Linked DNA regions of Caenorhabditis elegans. Each later gene encodes a partner of the first gene's protein in a complex. Each region holds a gene or a part of one and is shown in the gene's direction. Other genes may lie near its edges. The genes, in order: sop-3, dpy-22, sur-2 and mdt-4.

Region 1 (4,707 bases):
AAAAATATATTATGAAAACTCTTAAACTTTGAAAAATCGTGAGAAAATCTATGGGAAATCGGTGAAACTACAGTAATCTTTAAAGGCGCACAGTTCATTTCCATTTAACCAATAATTCACGTGGTGTCAGGCTGTCCCATGACGGTTTGATCTACAAAAAATGCTGGAATTTTTCTCTCAGCACACTCTTAACTATGCGAAATTAGTTTAAAAGTCTGCGTCTCTTCTCCCGCATTTGGGGCACTTTGACACCACGTGATAATTGTCGTGTCAAGACTAAGTTATAATTCGCTGCGAGACTCGAAAAATGATGTGCAACCTTCCCAACTTTCAGTTCGTCGCGGACTGCAATTTCAGCGGCGGAGGCCCCGGGCCGGGAAAACTGGCGGACACCACCAACCGCCAGGTCGCCGACACATTCTACCAGAGGACCTACGAAAACTCGCCGAGAGTCCTGCCAAAGTATATCTACTATAATGAGAATACCGCCAGAGACTACGGGCAGTTCGGTAACTGGTACTACCCGAATTACTATCCACCAACTTATCTCGGATTCTTCGACGGACGGCCGGCAAGTATGGCACAGCTTGAGAATGATTATAAATTTGCAAAAGGTGGACATTATCCATATAACAGGTAAATTTAAATTTTTTTAAAATTAATAATAAAACTTGTTTTTTTTCAGAGCCGATAATATTGTGAACATTGGGCTTCAACAGACATATCTTCCAACTTGCCTTCACGACTTGTTCTACTGTGTTCGCGCCAGCAATGGGCAGAGACCCCAGGCGTATTTGGTAGGTGGCCTAGGACTCAAAAAAAACTAGGCCATCGATTTTTCGAATTTTTAAAGAAAAAAACCATGTATTTTTAGTTGAAAATCTCCTTTTTTTAATCTTTTCCACGGATTTCTGGCTTCCCTCATAAATTGAAATGGAAGAGTTTGCCGAACTAGGTCATTTAGGCTCGGCCATATCTGGCATAGATTTACGGAGCGTTGCGTGTCGCGTCGCGGCTCGATTTTAGTTGTAAAACTAAATGTATTTGCCCGTGTGGAGTACTTTCCCACGTGTTTTCCGGCAGGCGATTGTCAATGGAGCGCGAAAAATTCAATGAGGAAGGCCAGAACCCCGTGCGCACGTTTAATTTTGCAACGCTCGCGCCAAGACCTTTCCTCTCAATTGAGCTCAAACAACGTTTTTTTTTAAAAATCACATTTCCTTCTCTTTTTCAGAACTACAAAGAATACCGCCGTGACCGTGACCAGGCTGCTGAACAAATGGCCCAACGGGATCAAGATATCAAGACTCTCCGCCGCCACCGCACCAGACACCACGAGGATGATGAATAAATTGATTTTGTTTGTAGATTATTAATGAAACATGATGTATTTTTGTTAATAAAATATAACTTGAAAATCGATTTTTTCTGCAGAAAACCGGTTTTAAACCCTGAGACGAATTATCTAAATTCAAACACCCGCCAATTGATGCCAGTGGCTGTGGCCTAAAATCCGCCTGCTAAACAACACGCGCCGCGTTATAACGGAGTGTCGTTCGCAGCAAAACAAAATATTTTTTGCACCGATTTTCTATTTTAAACTGCATTTTTAATGGGTTTCTCGTTAAAATTTCTCAATTTTTATATTATTAAACAGCAAATAATTAAATATTTATCGATTTTCAGGTAGCGAAACCTACCATGATAATTGAAGAGAGGAAAAATCATGAGTTAAACCTGGAGTCGATCGATCGAGATTTGCGAATGGAAAATGTCCGCCAAAGCGCAGAAAAGCTGGGATGGGAGCATTTTGCGAGATCTGTCAGGAGGAATTTGCTGGTAACTGCAATCTCCACCGTTTTTCATTGAAAAAAAAATCAAATTTTCAGGAGAAAAGGCAAACACTCGATGCACGAACCCGTCTCGACGTTCTTGGCTCTCTGGTTTTTATGAAAGAGCATTTACCAATTGATAATGATGCTACTATTGCTCGAAAAGTTCAACAATTATCTGAAGGCCTAGGGTGAGTGCTTTTTTAAATTTTTTTTAAATTAAAAATTTTATAAATAATTTTTTTTTCAGAGAACATTGCGTGTTTTCAACTCAAAATAGTGGATTTTCAATCAGAAATCCTGATGTAACAATCGACATTGGTGTTGCAGAGGATCAAGTGCGTTGAATACGGGATTTTACCAAAACAATAAAGCTATCTTTCAGATTAGTACCTGCAAAATCGGTTATTTCGGTCAACCGCTCACTGATGCTCCAGGAGCTCTAGCTCTAATGAAAAATGGAGAATTCTCGAAGCTTCGCGATTCGATAACCGCGATTTTGTCCTCACTTCCGAAGGAAATTACATTGTAAAGCTAATAATATTTATTTTTCAGAGGAAAAGAAAACTAAAAATATGAAATAAAAGCGTAAAAACTAATGAGAGCGACAGCGAGAATAATCGAAGATCTGACATAATGCACCGGCTGGGAGATCTTATCCTGTGTGAGACGGATGAAGCTGATCAGCAGGGCTCCAAGGGCTACCTGGAACGATTTTTATTGAATCATTTAAGAATAAAAATCAATAATATATTACCGGCGGAAGGTTCTTGGCTTCTTCTTCCAAATCGATCGTCGGTATAGATTCCACAGAGGAGAACGTCCACAGCAGAAAACTCGTGTAGAGACCGCCGGCGACGATGGAGAGGGATGAGAGAGTGCGCCACGTGGCGTTCCGTGGAATTTGAATGATGGAGAGGATCGCCGGGACCAAGTAGACCGGCGTATAGGCCCACCAGGTCGGATTTCTCGAGATTTCGAGAAGGCCGTAAGCCAGAAGGCCCAAACCGAGAATTGATTCAGTGGCGCGGAGGAACATTCTAGAAAAAAACCATTTTTTGTGAAATTTTGATTTAAAGGTGGTGTAGTTGAGTTTTTTATTTCTTTATTAGACTCAAAATTGTCTGAAAACACCGAATTTGATAATGAAACTTCTTGAAAACTTTTCCAAAAAAAATTATGACGCTCAAAAAATGACCTAAAATTAGTGAAAATTTGAAGTTGACCAACTTATCATTGTCGCAGCGGCTGGAAACAATTTTTTTTTGAAATTGTCGTCTATTTTTGAGTAAACAAGTAGATTATCTTGCGTTTTAAGCTTTATTATGGTATTTAAAGTCGATGGACGAAGAGAATTGATTAAAAAAATTTGAAAAATCTCTTCGTCCATCGACTTTTAAATACCTTAATAAAACTGAAAACGCAAGATAATCTACTTGTTTACTCAAAAATAGACGACAGTTTCAAAAAAAAATTTGTTTCCAGCTGCTGCGACAAAGATATTTAAGTTGGTCAAATTTCAAATTTTCACTAATTTTAGGCCATTTTCGAGAGGCCATAACTTTTTTTTGAGAAGTTTTCAAGAAATTTCATTATGAAATTCGGTGTTTTCAGACAATTTTGAGTCTAATAAAGAAATTTTAAAAAATTCGACTACTCTACCTTTAAGTTATAGAAAATAGTTAAAAATATCTATTTTTCTATTCGATGTTCCTTTATATACAGCTATAAAAATTTTATATGAAACTTATTTAAAAATATAATATACAGGAAAATTTCCCTACAAAAACGAGAAAATAAAAAAATCAATGAAATTCAAACTATTTTAAAGCCAAAATTTCGATAAAAACGAGATTTTCTGTATTTTGAAGGTGGTTTTCAGAAAAAGAAAACGAATTTATGGATGAAAGTATGACCACTTCTGAATGTTTTTTTTTTTGTTGCAATAACTAGTTGTGAGAGACGCAGACGGACGAAGATATGTATGTTGTAGTTTTTGATAAGAGAGATGAAGGTCAAACAAGGGGAATATGATGATAATTACGATAAAACTGTTTTATTAGACTCAAAATGCGCGGGAACTTTGAAATTTCAGGGAAAAATTGCTGATTTTTGCTAGAATCTAGAATTTCACTGCAACTTTTTCCTCACGAGAGACGAGGAAAATTGGTTTCTAGGCCATGGCCGAGGGGCCGACAAGTTTCAGCGGCAATTTATCTTGCTTTGTTTTCCGCTTGTTTTCTTTTGTTTTTCACAGCCTTTTCCCGTTTTTTCTTATTAAAACTGATAAATAAATATTTTTTGCAGATGCCAAAACGATTTCCAAGTAAAAAAAAGTGTATTCAGTGGGCAAGCAGCGGTGAAAGTGGTCAATGGTCAAATATGATGGATTACGGGAATACAAAACCTAGACTTTTTCTGAAACATGATACATATGCTGCTTAAATGCTGAGACTACCTGATTTTCATAACGAGACCGCTGAAAAAGTTTTGAGGTTTCCAAAATTCAACTTTTTTGGTGAAAAAGTCGAGATTTTCGCACAAAAAGTTGAATTTTGAAAACCTCAAAACTTTTTCAGCGGTCTCGTTATGAAAATCAGGTAGTCTCAGCATTTAAGCAGCATATGTATCATGTTTCAGAAAAAGTTTAGGTTTTGTATTCCCGTAATCCATCATATTACAATGCCCACTTTCACAGCTGCTTGCCCACTGAATACATAATTTTTTCAGTTGGAAATTGTTTTAGCATCTGCAAAAAGTATTTATTTATCAGTTTTAATAAGAAAAAACGGGAAAAAGCTGTGAAAAACAAAAGAAAACAAGCGAAAAACAAAGCAAGATAAATGGCCGCTGAAACTTGTCGGCCCCTCGACCA
Region 2 (4,709 bases), on another chromosome or scaffold:
GTATTGTTGACTACTTTTTCAACTTTATTTCTTTATCGTCTTAAATTTTTAAAGAACCAGTGTTCCATTTTTTCATTTCCTCATATTTTTCTTCTACTTCTCAATTGTCTTCAAGCAATTCCTGATCATTTTTATTTTGTTTCGTGTTTTTGATTATAAATTATTTATATACAAACACACAATTTTCAAACAATTGTGATGCGTGATAACATCGCTGAATTGTATTTTTGAAATTATAAAAGAAACGCGGAATACAAGACCTAATTACTAGAATTTACTGAATTTAAATAAACACTTTTTAGTGATTTATTTCGTTTTGAAAATTTTCCGCGATCCTGATTTGAAGAATTATAACAATTTCAATCAATTCTAATTTTTATTTTCAATATTTTGTTCAAAGTTCAAAACGATATTGTGGAGTTGTAAAAAAAATTAAAATATATATTCAAATATGCATTACATTGAAACATCAATCGGGGGATTTGCCCTATGACATTCTGAAATGAAGAAACTTAGAGTTTTTTTCTTCCGTTTTCATATAATTTTATCTGACATATGACATTTTCTCTCATCATTTGTCCTTTCTCATAAATTTAAATTTGCGAGAATGTGATTCTAACTGCAGACAATACCCAGATGTTGGAATTTTTTGCGCGTAAGGTCGTTTTTAGCTTAGTTTCAAAAAAACTTCGCTGGTTTTTTGTATAATATCAGTAAACTGCCTGAACATCCGAAACCATATTCTGAAACAACGCGCATTAAAGTTATTAAAATTGCACATATTCAAATAACAAATATTATCAGTTCATGCTGATCTGTAGGTGATATGCATACTACTTGATTTCCTTTTTTTTTTTTGGGTTCACCATCTTGGAATATTAGCTCATTCACAACTCCCAAAAAAGTCTACTTTCTTATCGTTCTGAAAGTTGAAGTTTTAACGTATTTACCATTTCTTACAACAATACAATTTTCCCTGCAATTAAACAAACGACTTATGAGTGGACCATTTTGAGAAAATAGCGAGACAGTTCCGATCGATGGGTCTGTGTGCCTTGCTGTGCAGCACTCTCCATCTCTGCGTCTCTCTCTTCCATCAGTGTATTTCTTGCTGTGTTCTGTGTTCTCAGGGGCCAATTCTCTATTTCTTTCCAACTGCCTGCTACTCGCCGTTTGTGCGTTTCTTCCTCGCTTCTCTGCGTCTTTTTTACAGCCATCTTTGAATGTCATCATCCGTACTGGGGTTGATGTGTTTCTTTACAATCGATGAAAGGTGCTTTATGAATACATCTCTGTCCACATGTTGAGTTTAATTTTTCACTTTTTTTAAAAGCTCACATTGTGTTTTTTTAACTAATTGGGAACCCACAAAATTTTGAATATTGGATTTTGAACACAATTTTAGAGTTGGAAAAGTGAACTAGACATGAATGATGATATTCCAAAAAAAAAACTTTTTAATACTTATTTTTTTCACAATATTTTCTAAATAAATAGAACCCACTTTCCTTTAAATTCTTATTCGTTCCTCCTTTCATTTTTCTGTCAGTTTTTATGTTGTTATCACTTAAAAACGTCGCCTGATTGTATTTTTTCTTTTTCTTAACATATTATCTTCAAAATTTGGGAAGTTATTGCAAATAAAAAAATTTTAGCAATCATTTCGTACCCATCGACGTCAGTGGTAGACGACGAGGACGACGTCTACCCCGAGGATGGCGTCGCCTCGTGGTTTGACGAGCAGCCCGGCGAACGTATGCTCCGGAAAACCAACCTTCGAATGGGAACTGCTGATGTGTATAAACAAAACAAGAATCAAGAAGAGGATATGTTGACAACGGAACGATTAAAGAAAGGATATCAGGTGAGTGTCGTGCCAGGGCGAGGAAAAAGATGCTCAAACAGAGTGCAATGTAACTATGGAGGTACTAGGGGATGATTAGCTTGGTGTGTGGCTAGATGTTTGATGAGCGTAAAAAGAAACAGAGAAAGCACACGTGAGGATATGAATTATACAACCCGAGTTTTGATTTTAGATGCCATTAACGCAATACGAGCTTCAATCATTGGTTTTCAACGCATCGGAAAATAAGCTAATTCGTCTGGAGAAAGCTCAAAAACGATCTCAGTCTATGATTGCTTCTGTGAGTCATTTTCAACAATTATATAAGTGAGTAAATATGTTAATTTCAGGTTATTCACAAAAAAGGAGAGTTCCACATGAATTATGACAGAGAACGTAAAATTCCAAAGGAACAACTTCCGTGTTTTGCACCACATAACTGGAAACGAATTTTGTCAGATCGAGTGAAATTCTTTTCGGCATTAGCTAGAGGAACTCCTCTTCAACAACTTTCACAAAGAATCCCTGGATTTAGAAGGAAAGAACTGCTCTTTTTGGAGTTTAGCGATTATAAGTGAGTTGTTTTTAAAATTCACAATTAAAACAAATGTGAATTATACTGTGCTAACTGAAGAATGTTCTAAAGTTGCCTATTTCAGCATAAGCTACGATCGGGCAATATGGTGTGTGAAACTTCTTTGTATCCTTGGTTTCAACTCTTCAAGCAAGACACAAAAGAAAACATTACTTGACGTTGCAACTCTAGAACTGAGCCAAGCATGCAACAAAACAACAATTTGGCTCGTAACCCAGCTTTACAAATCTTTTCGAAATCCCATAAAACGAAGAGAGGCTACTAAAACATGGAATTATTTGACTGGATTCATGAAGTATATGTTTGATGTAAGAGTTTTATTTTTAACAGAAATTTTATTAGTTTTGTTATAGGATGGTGTCCTTGATAAACAGGAGTTTCTCAACGATCTCACGGAAGTTTTCAATCAGTTGTTTTTGCAGAAAAACTTTAAGAACCCTTCAGTTTTAAGGTAAGCACTGCAAACTTTTCCAAATTAGATAACCCATGAACTGATATTGTATTAATAACATTTCAGCACATTCATGAAATATTATGTGTATTTTGTCGAAGATCTCAGCTCCAGTCTGGTGTTAGCTAGACGGTCCTCCACTCTGCTTTGCCAAGCACTTGGTTTTCTATTCGAAATGGCACAGGATAAAAGGAAAATTGATGCGTACTACGATTCTGCTAATAAAACTTTCATTAAGAAAGAGTAAGACTTAAATTTATGAGAGTTACAAAAAATCAAAAATTCAGATTTGAAAATGAAGATGGCGAAATTTACGAGTTTGAAGATTACGATGACTTCATTGATATGTTGGACGAGATTCCTGATGTACCCTACTTTGATGAGACTGACAAAACACCAGAAGCACAAGCTGAAGAACTTATCAAGCAGCATGAAAAACGAAAGGCAGGCTCACTCAAAAAGTCTGAAAGGAGGAGAAGAAGAGGATTGTCAAAAAATCGGCCAAAAAAAATGCCACAGAATCCTTCGAATGAAGCTTCTCTTGATCACGATAAAGTACAGATTAAACAAGAACCGATGGACTATGATGAGTATGGAGGTCAACAATCAGACAATTCTATGGATTATGACTCTTTCTCACATCAATATGATCCATCATATGAGCCTTTACCTTTCAAGCCACTTCACACAGATATTCCAAAAAAACTCACTGACGATGAGGAGTTCAAGTACATGAAGATAGGCAAGAGATCTGTCACTCCTGAACGTATTAGTGGTCGCTATGGTTCAATGACGTATCCTTTCTGGATTCAGCAGGGCGGAGTTGGAATTGATCCACCAAAAGATGAAGTACTGGATTTCTCCAATCCAACACCAACGGAAACTGTCAACACGCAGCCACAAATTGATTTTGAATCATCTCCCAGCGCTTCGCCAGCTCTTTCTGTCGATAAAGAAAATGAATGTGAAAAGAAAGAAGATGAATCTAAAACTAAGGAGAAGAACAAAGATAAGGAGAAAGACAAGGAAAAAGAAAAATCTGTTGATGAGCATACGAATGATCTGGATGTTCCGATAAATCCTGACGATGCTGAAATGGCTGATGCAAATGATAAAACCGATGCTTCTGAAAAACAAAAATTAGTTGAAGAAGAACCTACCGGCAAAGAAAATGAAGATGATACCAGTTCAAAAACGGCAAAGACGTCTACATCAGCAGAGAAATCCGAAGCTCCCTCCATTGTCGATTCTAATGACAAAATTGATAAGGAGCCAAATGCAAGTTCAACAAGTAACGATGAAACTTCTAAAGATGACACAGTTCCCATGGAATCAGATCCACCAGCTGCCACTGAAAAACCAAAAGAATCCACTGAAATTACCACCGAGGAACCACTGGAAGTCGACAAAGCGCCTGAAGTTGATAAGTCTGAGAAAGAACACGAAGATGATATTATGATCATTGAGTCCAACAAAAAAGCAGACGAGGATGACTGTGTTGTTATAGCTGTGGTGGATCCTGATCAGGAACAAACTCCGGAAAGTGAGAAGAAAAAAGATGGCGAAGAAGAAAGGGACAAAAACAAGGATACAGATGTGGCGGATAACGAACCCGAGAAAATTTATACCGACGAGGAACTCGCTGAAATCAAAATCCGCAAAGAGAAGGAAATGAAAATTGCAACTTTGGCTTCCCATATCAAAGAGAAAATGGTGTCAGACAAAAAATGGAAAGAGAAAACTAGCCACGCAGGATGGAGAACACTTGATCAATGCAGTCAGTTCAGTGAAGCGCTTCATTTGCTCTCAAGCATGGTGCA
Region 3 (4,915 bases), about 12 Mb from region 1:
TGAAACAAAAGTTGCAAAAATATAGTAATTTCGCAATTTTCTGAACGCGTACTTAAAGGTACACGGTTTGATTCGGATTGGTCCCGCCACAAAGTGTTACCATAACATTTTTCTCGCTGCGAGACCCATCCGAATAAATCCGTGCGCCTAATCAGTGCGAGTACGCATTTCATATTACTGATAAGTGCCATTTTTAGAACAATGAGCAAATCGATTTGCAAATCAAGCATGCGCGCAGCTGTAGTCCGACGATTCGGAGCACCTGATGTCATAGAAGCCGTCGAGAGTGATATGCCCAGGCTTGAAAAAAACCAGGTTCTCGTTCGGAATTACGCTGCCGGTGTCAATCCAGTTGACACATATATTCGTGCTGGTCAGTATGGAAAACTACCAAATCTTCCATATGTACCAGGAAAAGATGGAGCCGGATTCGTCGAACTTGTGGGAGAAAGCGTTAAAAATGTGAAAGTCGGCGATCGAGTCTGGTATGGATCAGAAGCGGACAGTACAGCAGAGTATGTTGCGGTGAATCGACCATTCGAGTTGCCGGAAGGTAAAAGAATCATTGCGCAACGGGTTACTGTAGCTAGTTGCCCGCGTGGCGAGACCTAAGATATAGCTAAAATCTCATTTCAGGAGTTTCGTTTGAGGAAGGAGCTTCTCTCGGAGTGCCTTATCTTACCGCTTATCGTGCATTGTTTCATCTTGCTGGTGCAAAGGTTTGACTTTTATTTATTATTAAATGGTTCATAGAGAATATTAAAATTTTGGCAAAAACGTATCAAAATTAGGAGGCAAAATCAATACAAATCAATCTTTACAAAGCCAACTTGACCATCTGTTCCATCTCAAACAAGGGGCGGTCTAAAATACGACCATCTGCTGTTCCCTCCCAAAACTAATTCTCTTCTCAGACTGGCGACGTTATACTTGTACACGGAGCATCTGGTGGAGTGGGAAGTGCACTGATGCAGCTGGCTGCCTGGAGGAACATTGAAGCTGTTGGCACTGCTGGATCTGCTGATGGGATCCGGTTCGTGAAGAGTCTTGGTGCACGGAATGTCTATAATCATTCGGATAAGCAATATGTGTCGAAAATGAAAAATGATTATCCAGGAGGCTTCAACCACATTTTCGAAATGGCTGCTCACACAAATCTGAACACGGACCTCGGATTGCTGGCTCCACGTGGTAGAGTTGCAGTAATTGGAAATCGCGCCGAGACCACGATCAACGCAAGACAACTTATGGTTACAGAAGGAGCTGTTTACGGTGTAGCATTGGGAATGTCTTCCGAGGCTGAGCTCTTGGACTTTGGCATCAACATTGTCTCATTCTTGAAGGAAACCGAGTTTCGTCCACTTATAAACAAATTGTATCGTCTCGAGCAATTAGGACTGGCTCATGAGGAAATTATGAACAACAAGGGAGCGAAAGGAAATCTTGTAGTGCAAATCGAACATTAATTCATTATTTTAACACGCCATTTAAAGGAATGTAAATGAGAATAAACTGTACTTTTTATGAAGATATGAAAAAAATAAATTAATCTAGATTTCAGCTTCTTGAAACTGATTTTCAACAGAAATTTGGCAAATCAGTCCAAATGTCAGTTTACCTACAATAAAAGTCAAGATATTTAAATGTGTGAAATGTATTATATATGTAGTAGTTTTTTCGCAGAACTCTGGTAGAGTTCAAATCCGCAGAATATGCGTGAACGAAGAGACCACACACCAAGCGCGCTCTATTGTCACGCGTGAGAGAGAAGAGGCGCAGTAATATCTTTCTCAAACAATGCGTTTTTAATTTTTATCAACCTATTTTGTTTCAATTTATTATTTTAACATTTTTCTTTTGAAAATTATTACATTTTCAGGCAACAAAATGACGGATAAACCTGGTTCCGCAGAAGATACAATTGAAATGGATGACACGTGCTCTCCGCAATTTGTTCAGGAAGTCAATCGAATAAAGAGTCAAATTAAAAGTCTCGTTGTGAGTTTTTTAAATCAAAAATAACGCTTAAAAAATTAAACATAACTCATAAAAATATATTCTAGGAAGAAAACCACACAAGAAAATTTTTTCGACCTCTTACGTCGAATATTGGCGACGAGACGGCGATTTTACGGATTCAATTCAATAATATGATGAGTAAAATGGAAGAAAAAGAAAAACAATCTTTAGTGAAAGAGCTAATAAAAATGGTTCATCACGTGGCGGAAAAGAACTCTCCTGATCGAGTTTTTGTTGGGTGAGAATTTAAAAATTCGAAAAAAAAACAATTTTAACAGTTCTTTTGCATATAATCAGAGGTTTTAACAGTGTTTTATTCCAGAACAAACTACGAACGTGTCGTAGATCAGCTTCTCCGATATGCTCATCAAAAAGGTGCGATTTCAACGAATCTGTGCGCAGAAGGACTCATAATGACTTCGGACTTCCGATTATGCAGTAGAATATGCCAAGAAAAATGGAAATTCATCAATGATTGCATTCCAAAAATCGATTACAAAGGAATTCGGAATATCCTCCGATATATTCTGGAATCACAGCTCCGTCGCCTACCGTATTCACTATCTCCGGAGCAAGTAAACGAAATCCGCATTGTTGAGAATGTAATACTGCATATTGTGGATAGAGACTCCAATTTGATGCCTCCACTCATCACATTATCAGAAATTATGAGAGGAATGCCGAAACAGGCGCTTATGCTGCCGGTGAGGGGAAAATTTTAAAAAAAATTGCTGAAAATATAAAGACAATGTAAAAATTTAGATTTGTTAATTTTTTTTTTCGGCAAAAAAAACACAAAAAAAAGATCTCTCTACATTCAAAAAGTCGAATTTTTTTTTGGCGGAAACCAAAAAAAAGTTCGACCATTCTCGCAAAGTTTCTAATTTCTGTGCATTTAGTTTTTGAGTTACAGAAAGTAAACCAAATTGAATACTACAGAAGTTTTAAAAAACTTAATTTAAGCCATAAAAAAATGACGGGAAATTTCTTCTGATTTCTAAATTTTCAGTTTCTCAACATTTTATTTGAAGTTTTTACCAAGGGTGGGCGGCAATTACCGTTCGGCAAATCGGGCAATTTGCTGGTTTACCGATTTGCCGTTTACCGGATGTTAAATTTTCCGCAAATGTTTTGAGGGATTTTTTCATAAGACTGAAACACTTAAAACTGTGACTTTTTGGGCTGTTTTTCCCTTTTCCTCAGATATTTTTATAGAATTTGCTTACTTTTCAAAAAAGATGTAGAAAAAAACATTCAAACACTCACAGGATGCGTACAATTCTGAAATTCCCAAAAAATTAGTGCGAAACCACAATTTGCCAAAAATTTTCGACAATTGGTATTTTTCCGGTAAATTCGGAAATTTGCCGGTTTCACGATTTGCCGGAAATTTCAATTCCGGCACTTTGCCGATTTGCCGAAAAAATCGTTTGCCACACACCCCTGATTTGTATGCTGATTGACTGAAAAATCACCTTCATCGACGAAAAATTATCTGAATGTACAAAACCACAATTTGCCGAAAAATTTCGGCAATTTGCTGATTTTCCGGCAATCTGCTGATTTGCCGGAAATTTCAATTCCGGCAATTGTGGATTTTTTTTGCAAAAAGCGGCTCGAGATGAGTCACGGATCGACCCATCTCGATTCATTTACCAAGCCTATATTTCTTAAGATTAAATTAAAATGCCAAATATTACAGAGACTAACGGAGAAACTGGCAAGCTTATCCGTCCATTTCCGACCAATTGCCGACCTATCCCACGTGTGTGGCCGTGGATTCGTTTACCCCATTCCACTACATCCATCATTCTATCCATTAACATCGTGTTGGGAAGAACATGGATTAAATGCCAGTAATACAATTGTTCAACCTCATCATACACTTCCATATCGTCCTGAACATACTTCTACATACTTGTACACCCTCTACATGATTCTTCGTCAGCCATTGGGAAAGGACTCGGTATGAAATTGAGAATATATATATTTTAAATAACTTATCCCGAATTAAGTTTCAGCTTCATCCTCCGAGCAAAACGAAGACAAAGACAAATTGGGAAATGTTGATATCTGTAATGATATGTGAATCAATGGCCGAAGCAGAATCTCTACCGGAAACTGAGCCAATTCCACGATATCAATGGGACAATATTGTTAATATTGTTATTTATGGGATTACACAACATTTATTGTTAGTGTATTTCAAATTTTTCGATTTTGCGAAACCCGAAAAACAAAAATATTCCTTTTTTCAATTATTTTTCGCAAATTCAGAAAAAAAATCCAATTTTTTACTTTTAAAGTAAAATTCTAAAAAATCCGAACATTTCGATTTCCGACATTCAGGAAAGCTAAATTTTTGGGTTTTTCAAAGAGAAAATCGAAAAAAAAAAGATTCTATTTGAAAAACACAAGTTTTGAATTTCAAAATTGTCTTGAAAAGCCAGAAATTTGAAAGTAGAGCTAATAATTTAATTTAAAAACTAAGCGTTTCAATTTTTGGTTTATTTCTGAAGGAAAAAAAAATCCAAAATCAAAATTCTTAGGATAAAAGCTATAATTTAAACAAAATCTTTTGAAAATTCTTCAAAAATCTGAATGTTCTTGACTTTTAGACCTTCAAAAAAAAATCGAAAAACCAAAATATTTCTTTTTTTCAATTATTCTTAGAAAATTCCAGAAAAATCCAATTTTTCACTTCTTAAATAAAATTTCGAAAAAAAATACCGAAACTTAAGATTTTCTTGAAATGTTTTTAAAAAAAAATTTACCAAAAAACAAAACTTTAGATTTCCGACATTTAGAAAAATTGAAAACCAAAATCTTTAATTTTTCTTGTAACTTTTTCTTTTAAAAAATCCAAAAAGAGAAGTTTTGGATAATAGATATTCTC
Region 4 (4,229 bases), on another chromosome or scaffold:
CATTAGAAGCTGTAGAAGATGCAGTGGACATTCTTGAAAAAGAGGTAGCGTACACACATCCTCGAAAAGTGGCCGAGAAACAAAACATTTTAATTTCAGATGCTCTCCTTCTGCAACCTGATTCCAGTTAACTCTTGGGGATTTGATGATGATGTCAAAGAATCATTGAAGATGCGAAAACACAGTTTGGTTAATCGACAACTCAGCAAAAGTAATTTATTGATAAATTTCTTTAAAATTCTGTATGTTTTTCAGAGGAAAGAAAGTCAATGTCTGCACAACAGAAACAACATCTGGCGAAAGGCTTAGGATTGGTTCCAAACACTGTTCAAGAAGTCCTCGAGTGGATGTCTAAAAGCAAGCAGCATTCGAAAGTGCAACCACAAAAGGTTGTTGCACCGGTGAAGAGACCAGCGGATCAGAACAAGAATAAAGAAAAAGTAGTGAAGAAAGACCAGAAAAAGCAAGATAAGAAAGCTGATTCTGATTCAGAAGAGGATGATTCATCTGACGACGAGGAGAAAGAAGAAACAGACGAGCCAGTTGCTAAGAAGCAAAAGAAAGAAGAATCTTCAGATGATGATGAAGACAGTGAAGATGGAGAAGAGCCTGAAGGAAATAATGGAGCTGTAGAGGCTGAGGACAGCGATTCAACGGACGAAGAAGAAGAAACACCATCTAAACCCAACAAAACCGTAGCACAATCTACTCTGAAATCGAATGGAAAAATTGACAAGGAGATTCAAAAGTTGGAAGACGATGAAGACAATGAATCCCCCGAAATCAGACGTCAAATCGCTTTGCTGAGACTGCAGAAAAAGCTGAAGGAAATGAAAGTTGAGCGGAAAGGAAAAGGACCGGCGAAGGTAACATCAGCGATGGCTGAAAAAATGGCAGAGGAGAAGCGTTTGAAAAGACGGGAGAGCAAGCTGAAGCTGAAACAAAGAAGAGCAGAGGAGAAGAAAGGAAAAGAGGCAGCAGCTCAAGTGAAGAAAGAGACTGTTGAAAGCACAGAAAATGGCAATGAGCCTGTCGAGAAGCAGAAATCTGGAATTTCATTCAATAATCTCAAGTTTGAAATCAAAGAAGACAAGCAGAGGGGCAAGAAACAAAGAGTGAGTAAAAATATTTTTATCTGAAATATCTGAAATTTTCAGACCGCCAAAAAAGATCGAGCTCTTAAACTTACCGGACGTGACTATAAATCACTTATCGCTAAAGTCGAAGAGACAAAAGCAACAATTGCCAAAGTTCGCGAAGCTGATCCACATAAGGCTACCATCATGGAAGATGAGCTAAAGTGGGAGAAAACACTGAAAAGAGCAGCTGGTGGAAAAGTGAAAGATAATTTGGGAATGCTCAAGAAGGCTTTGGTGAAGAAGAATAAGATGAAGGATAGAAGAAAGCAGAAATGGGAGAACCGAGAGAATAAGACGGAGGGAGAGAAGCAAACGGTATGTTGATTGGTAGAAAATCCTTTAAGATTTGAATTTTTATTTTTCAGAAGCAAGACAAGAGAAAGAAGAATCTCCAGAAGCGCATCGATGACGTCAAGAAGAGAAAGATGAACAAGTTGAGAAACAAGGGAAGAATCCTCTAAACAACACACATTTATCCGCTTTTAATTTCTCGTTGTTGAACATTTTTTTGTTAATTTTTACTGTTAACTTTTTTCTTTAAATCTGTGGCCTGTTGTTAAGTTTTTAAGTTTTCAAATTATACTAAATTCTTTGAAAAATATTCTCTTTTTTTTTGAAACTTGTGCCGTTGTTTCGGTAATTAATTATTTTAAAAGTTGTTAATGTATGTTCGATGGTTGTATTGTTCTAGATCTCAAATGGCAGAAACAGATGAACGAAGTCTACGGGATTTGCTCCTGGAATCTGCAGATGATTTGGAGCATATTGTTAAAATGGTACGTTCTAAAAAAATTTGAAACAATATTATAGTTTATTTTAAAATTACTTTTTACTGTGAGTTCATCTTATAGAATTCATGAACCCACATAATCAATTATTGTTTCAGATCGTCGATACACTCATCAATCGGGACAAAAGTGTTATGCTGAAAAATGGAGAAACCGTTACGAACATTATCAAGCTGTTTGACTCAAAACAGGATAGCATAAAGACTTTGCTGAAGAGGGTTCCTGAGTTTCAAGAACGAGAGCAGCTCATTCGGACGCTTGAAGCCCACGTGGAGAAACGAGACGAAGTTATTCAACAACTTGAAACGAATTTGAAGTCATGTGAGGTGGCTCTGACGCGATCTTGTTTTCATGTAAATTTTGTTGGAAACAAAGACTTTTTTCGAAATACGTTTATTTCAGGCAAACCAGAAGCTCAAGCAAATGAAAGAAGCTGAATTGAGACCAGTCAATAGTGAGATGCTCATCAAACTGGCTCATCAGATCAGTAAGCACAACTCCGTATCTGCACCACTCACTTGGCAAATGGGAGATCCATCGCGTCCGTTTCCTCAGGAACACGAATTTCGAGCTGGTCACCTATTGAATTCAAAAGTTCAGAGCACTGGACCTCAGCTTTTACCCGGAAAGAACGTCGCTCAGAGGCCGCTTATTACGGTATGTTTATGGAAACTTGTTGAAATGTGAATCCTCACCTGAAATATTTGATAAATGCATTTATAAATGCATTTATATAAATGCAATACTTCTAATGTTTTCTACGTTAATCTGAAATTCTTTTCACACTGTAACCGAACAGCTGTGAATCACGTGATTTATGTCTTATCTTCTTACATTATCTAACAGTCATTCCTTCTAATGATCAAATTATGAGTGATAAGAAATATTCAGTTCATATTGTGATCTCTTTCCTTCTACGTTATTCGTAGTAAATTTTATAAATAAAATTAAGATTCAACGTTCAATCAATATTATTTCAGTCTCCATCCGCATCCTCATCCAACGGTGGAACAGCTCCAATTCGAACTGTCGGCACTCCTCTTATTAATTCTGCTCCGACTGGAGATTTCAGTCCACGAACTGGTTTTGGCACCGACGAGCCTCCACCGATTCAACAGCAAGTACTCCGTGGAGCCACTCCAAATGAAAAGCAATGGCAGAATCCGGGAGTTTCAGGAGCCACCTCAACGCAATCCCCTTACAACCGTGTCTCGCAGGTCAGTGCAAACCGAGTGTACATAGACAGTGTTACTGGCGGCCCGCAAATGATGCACGGGTGGCGCAGTGGTAACGCGTTTGCCCGTTGTTCAGCTGTCCACCAGTTCGATTCTCAATGCACACAGAAAGTCGAGATTGCCGGCTTCAAAGGCTTTATCGTTGATTACGTGTGCTATAACAACGCCATAGGTATCATTCTTCGTCTTCTTAGGCGCGGAACATCTAAATATGGCTACATTTATCTGCTATTTTATAATTTTCCAATAAATAACATATTTTCAGAGTCCTTCTTCCTCGCCAAACGTGAAGCTGAAAATTACTGGACTTCCGAATCGTCCAGGAGGTATCGATCAAGTTCAAGATGTGCGGGATGTCGAACAAATGTCGTCGGACAGCTCCAACTCGTCAGATAGTTCAGATGATGAAGGCGCATCGAAAAAGACTGGCAGTAGCAATAAATAATGAAAGATCTCTGTAAATTCTGGTATTTTACTTATTGTACGTTGATAAATAAACACAATTTTCTATATATCTTGTGTTTAACAGTGACACTAACTGATTGCATGTGGTTCAGTGTCCACGCCATGTTTACCGCTATGCCAGCTGCCTTTCTTTCTTTCTTTATGTCCTCTAATCTATTTACTCCTTGAACTTTTTTTTCAACAATTCTAGTAACTAATTATATTTAGAAATATGCCAAATTTTGGAATATACCTAAGTTAGCTTTTGATTCAAATCTTATTTTAAAAAAACACTCACCCCATCTAGAGACGCAGAAACGAAAGGGACCACCCATGACAAGAGAGATGCGGAGTACGTGAAAAGATGCACAAAACATGTTGCAGTGAAAGTGTTGTTAGCCATCACTTTTTTTTGTTTTTGTGGGCTCAAATCAGTTTGAAGAAAAGTTGAAGTTGTAAAATTTCGCCTCCTTTCGTTTTTTATGTCATTTTATATTACTTGCCCTTTGGTAATAGATAAGAAATTATCTCTCCCATCAGACACATTCCCACACATCTTCTTTTGACTTGCCTCCACACAACTAATCTAGATATAGATGGGCGGTCCTGATTCTTGAATACAA

Evidence for each region.
Region 2: sop-3 (region 1) and dpy-22 share a complex: the UniProt entries of both Caenorhabditis elegans proteins name them as parts of the mediator complex.
Region 3: sop-3 (region 1) and sur-2 share a complex: the UniProt entries of both Caenorhabditis elegans proteins name them as parts of the mediator complex.
Region 4: sop-3 (region 1) and mdt-4 share a complex: the UniProt entries of both Caenorhabditis elegans proteins name them as parts of the mediator complex.

What each region holds. Positions count from the first base shown.
Region 1 is NC_003279.8:2,773,077-2,777,783, reverse strand, and holds the start of sop-3 (Mediator of RNA polymerase II transcription subunit 1.1), read left to right. Parts: upstream 1-1,682; 5' UTR 1,683-1,701; coding exon 1,702-1,839; intron 1,840-1,889; coding exon 1,890-2,023; intron 2,024-2,082; coding exon 2,083-2,170; intron 2,171-2,217; coding exon 2,218-2,360; intron 2,361-2,362; exon of another isoform or gene 2,363-2,399; coding exon of another isoform or gene 2,400-2,537; intron 2,538-2,589; coding exon of another isoform or gene 2,590-2,871; exon of another isoform or gene 2,872-2,872; intron 2,873-4,707. Other genes in the region: Y71F9B.13 (NADH dehydrogenase [ubiquinone] 1 beta subcomplex subunit 7), read left to right, coding at 335-636, 686-797, 1,235-1,351; Y71F9B.1 (uncharacterized protein), read right to left, coding at 2,400-2,537, 2,590-2,871. UniProt on the Caenorhabditis elegans protein: Component of the Mediator complex, a coactivator involved in the regulated transcription of nearly all RNA polymerase II-dependent genes.
Region 2 is NC_003284.9:9,819,218-9,823,926, reverse strand, and holds the start of dpy-22 (Mediator of RNA polymerase II transcription subunit 12), read left to right. Parts: upstream 1-1,653; 5' UTR 1,654-1,756; coding exon 1,757-1,864; intron 1,865-2,036; coding exon 2,037-2,144; intron 2,145-2,193; coding exon 2,194-2,417; intron 2,418-2,502; coding exon 2,503-2,746; intron 2,747-2,791; coding exon 2,792-2,889; intron 2,890-2,955; coding exon 2,956-3,132; intron 3,133-3,176; coding exon 3,177-4,709. UniProt on the Caenorhabditis elegans protein: Component of the Mediator complex, a coactivator involved in regulated gene transcription of nearly all RNA polymerase II-dependent genes.
Region 3 is NC_003279.8:14,784,769-14,789,683, reverse strand, and holds the start of sur-2 (Mediator of RNA polymerase II transcription subunit 23), read left to right. Parts: upstream 1-1,880; 5' UTR 1,881-1,887; coding exon 1,888-1,998; intron 1,999-2,063; coding exon 2,064-2,257; intron 2,258-2,341; coding exon 2,342-2,723; intron 2,724-3,721; coding exon 3,722-3,985; intron 3,986-4,040; coding exon 4,041-4,213; intron 4,214-4,915. Other genes in the region: F39B2.3 (15-oxoprostaglandin 13-reductase), read left to right, coding at 202-553, 637-719, 915-1,466. UniProt on the Caenorhabditis elegans protein: Component of the Mediator complex, a coactivator involved in regulated gene transcription of nearly all RNA polymerase II-dependent genes.
Region 4 is NC_003280.10:4,941,551-4,945,779, reverse strand, and holds mdt-4 (Mediator of RNA polymerase II transcription subunit 4), read left to right. Parts: upstream 1-1,830; 5' UTR 1,831-1,837; coding exon 1,838-1,915; intron 1,916-2,025; coding exon 2,026-2,280; intron 2,281-2,329; coding exon 2,330-2,584; intron 2,585-2,907; coding exon 2,908-3,144; intron 3,145-3,260; exon of another isoform or gene 3,261-3,427; coding exon 3,428-3,607; coding exon of another isoform or gene 3,608-3,617; 3' UTR 3,618-3,673; downstream 3,674-4,229. Other genes in the region: SURF6 homolog gldi-11, read left to right, coding at 1-44, 100-211, 256-1,115, 1,158-1,454, 1,505-1,600; ZK546.19 (uncharacterized protein), read right to left, coding at 3,462-3,617, 3,905-4,009. UniProt on the Caenorhabditis elegans protein: Component of the Mediator complex, a coactivator involved in the regulated transcription of nearly all RNA polymerase II-dependent genes.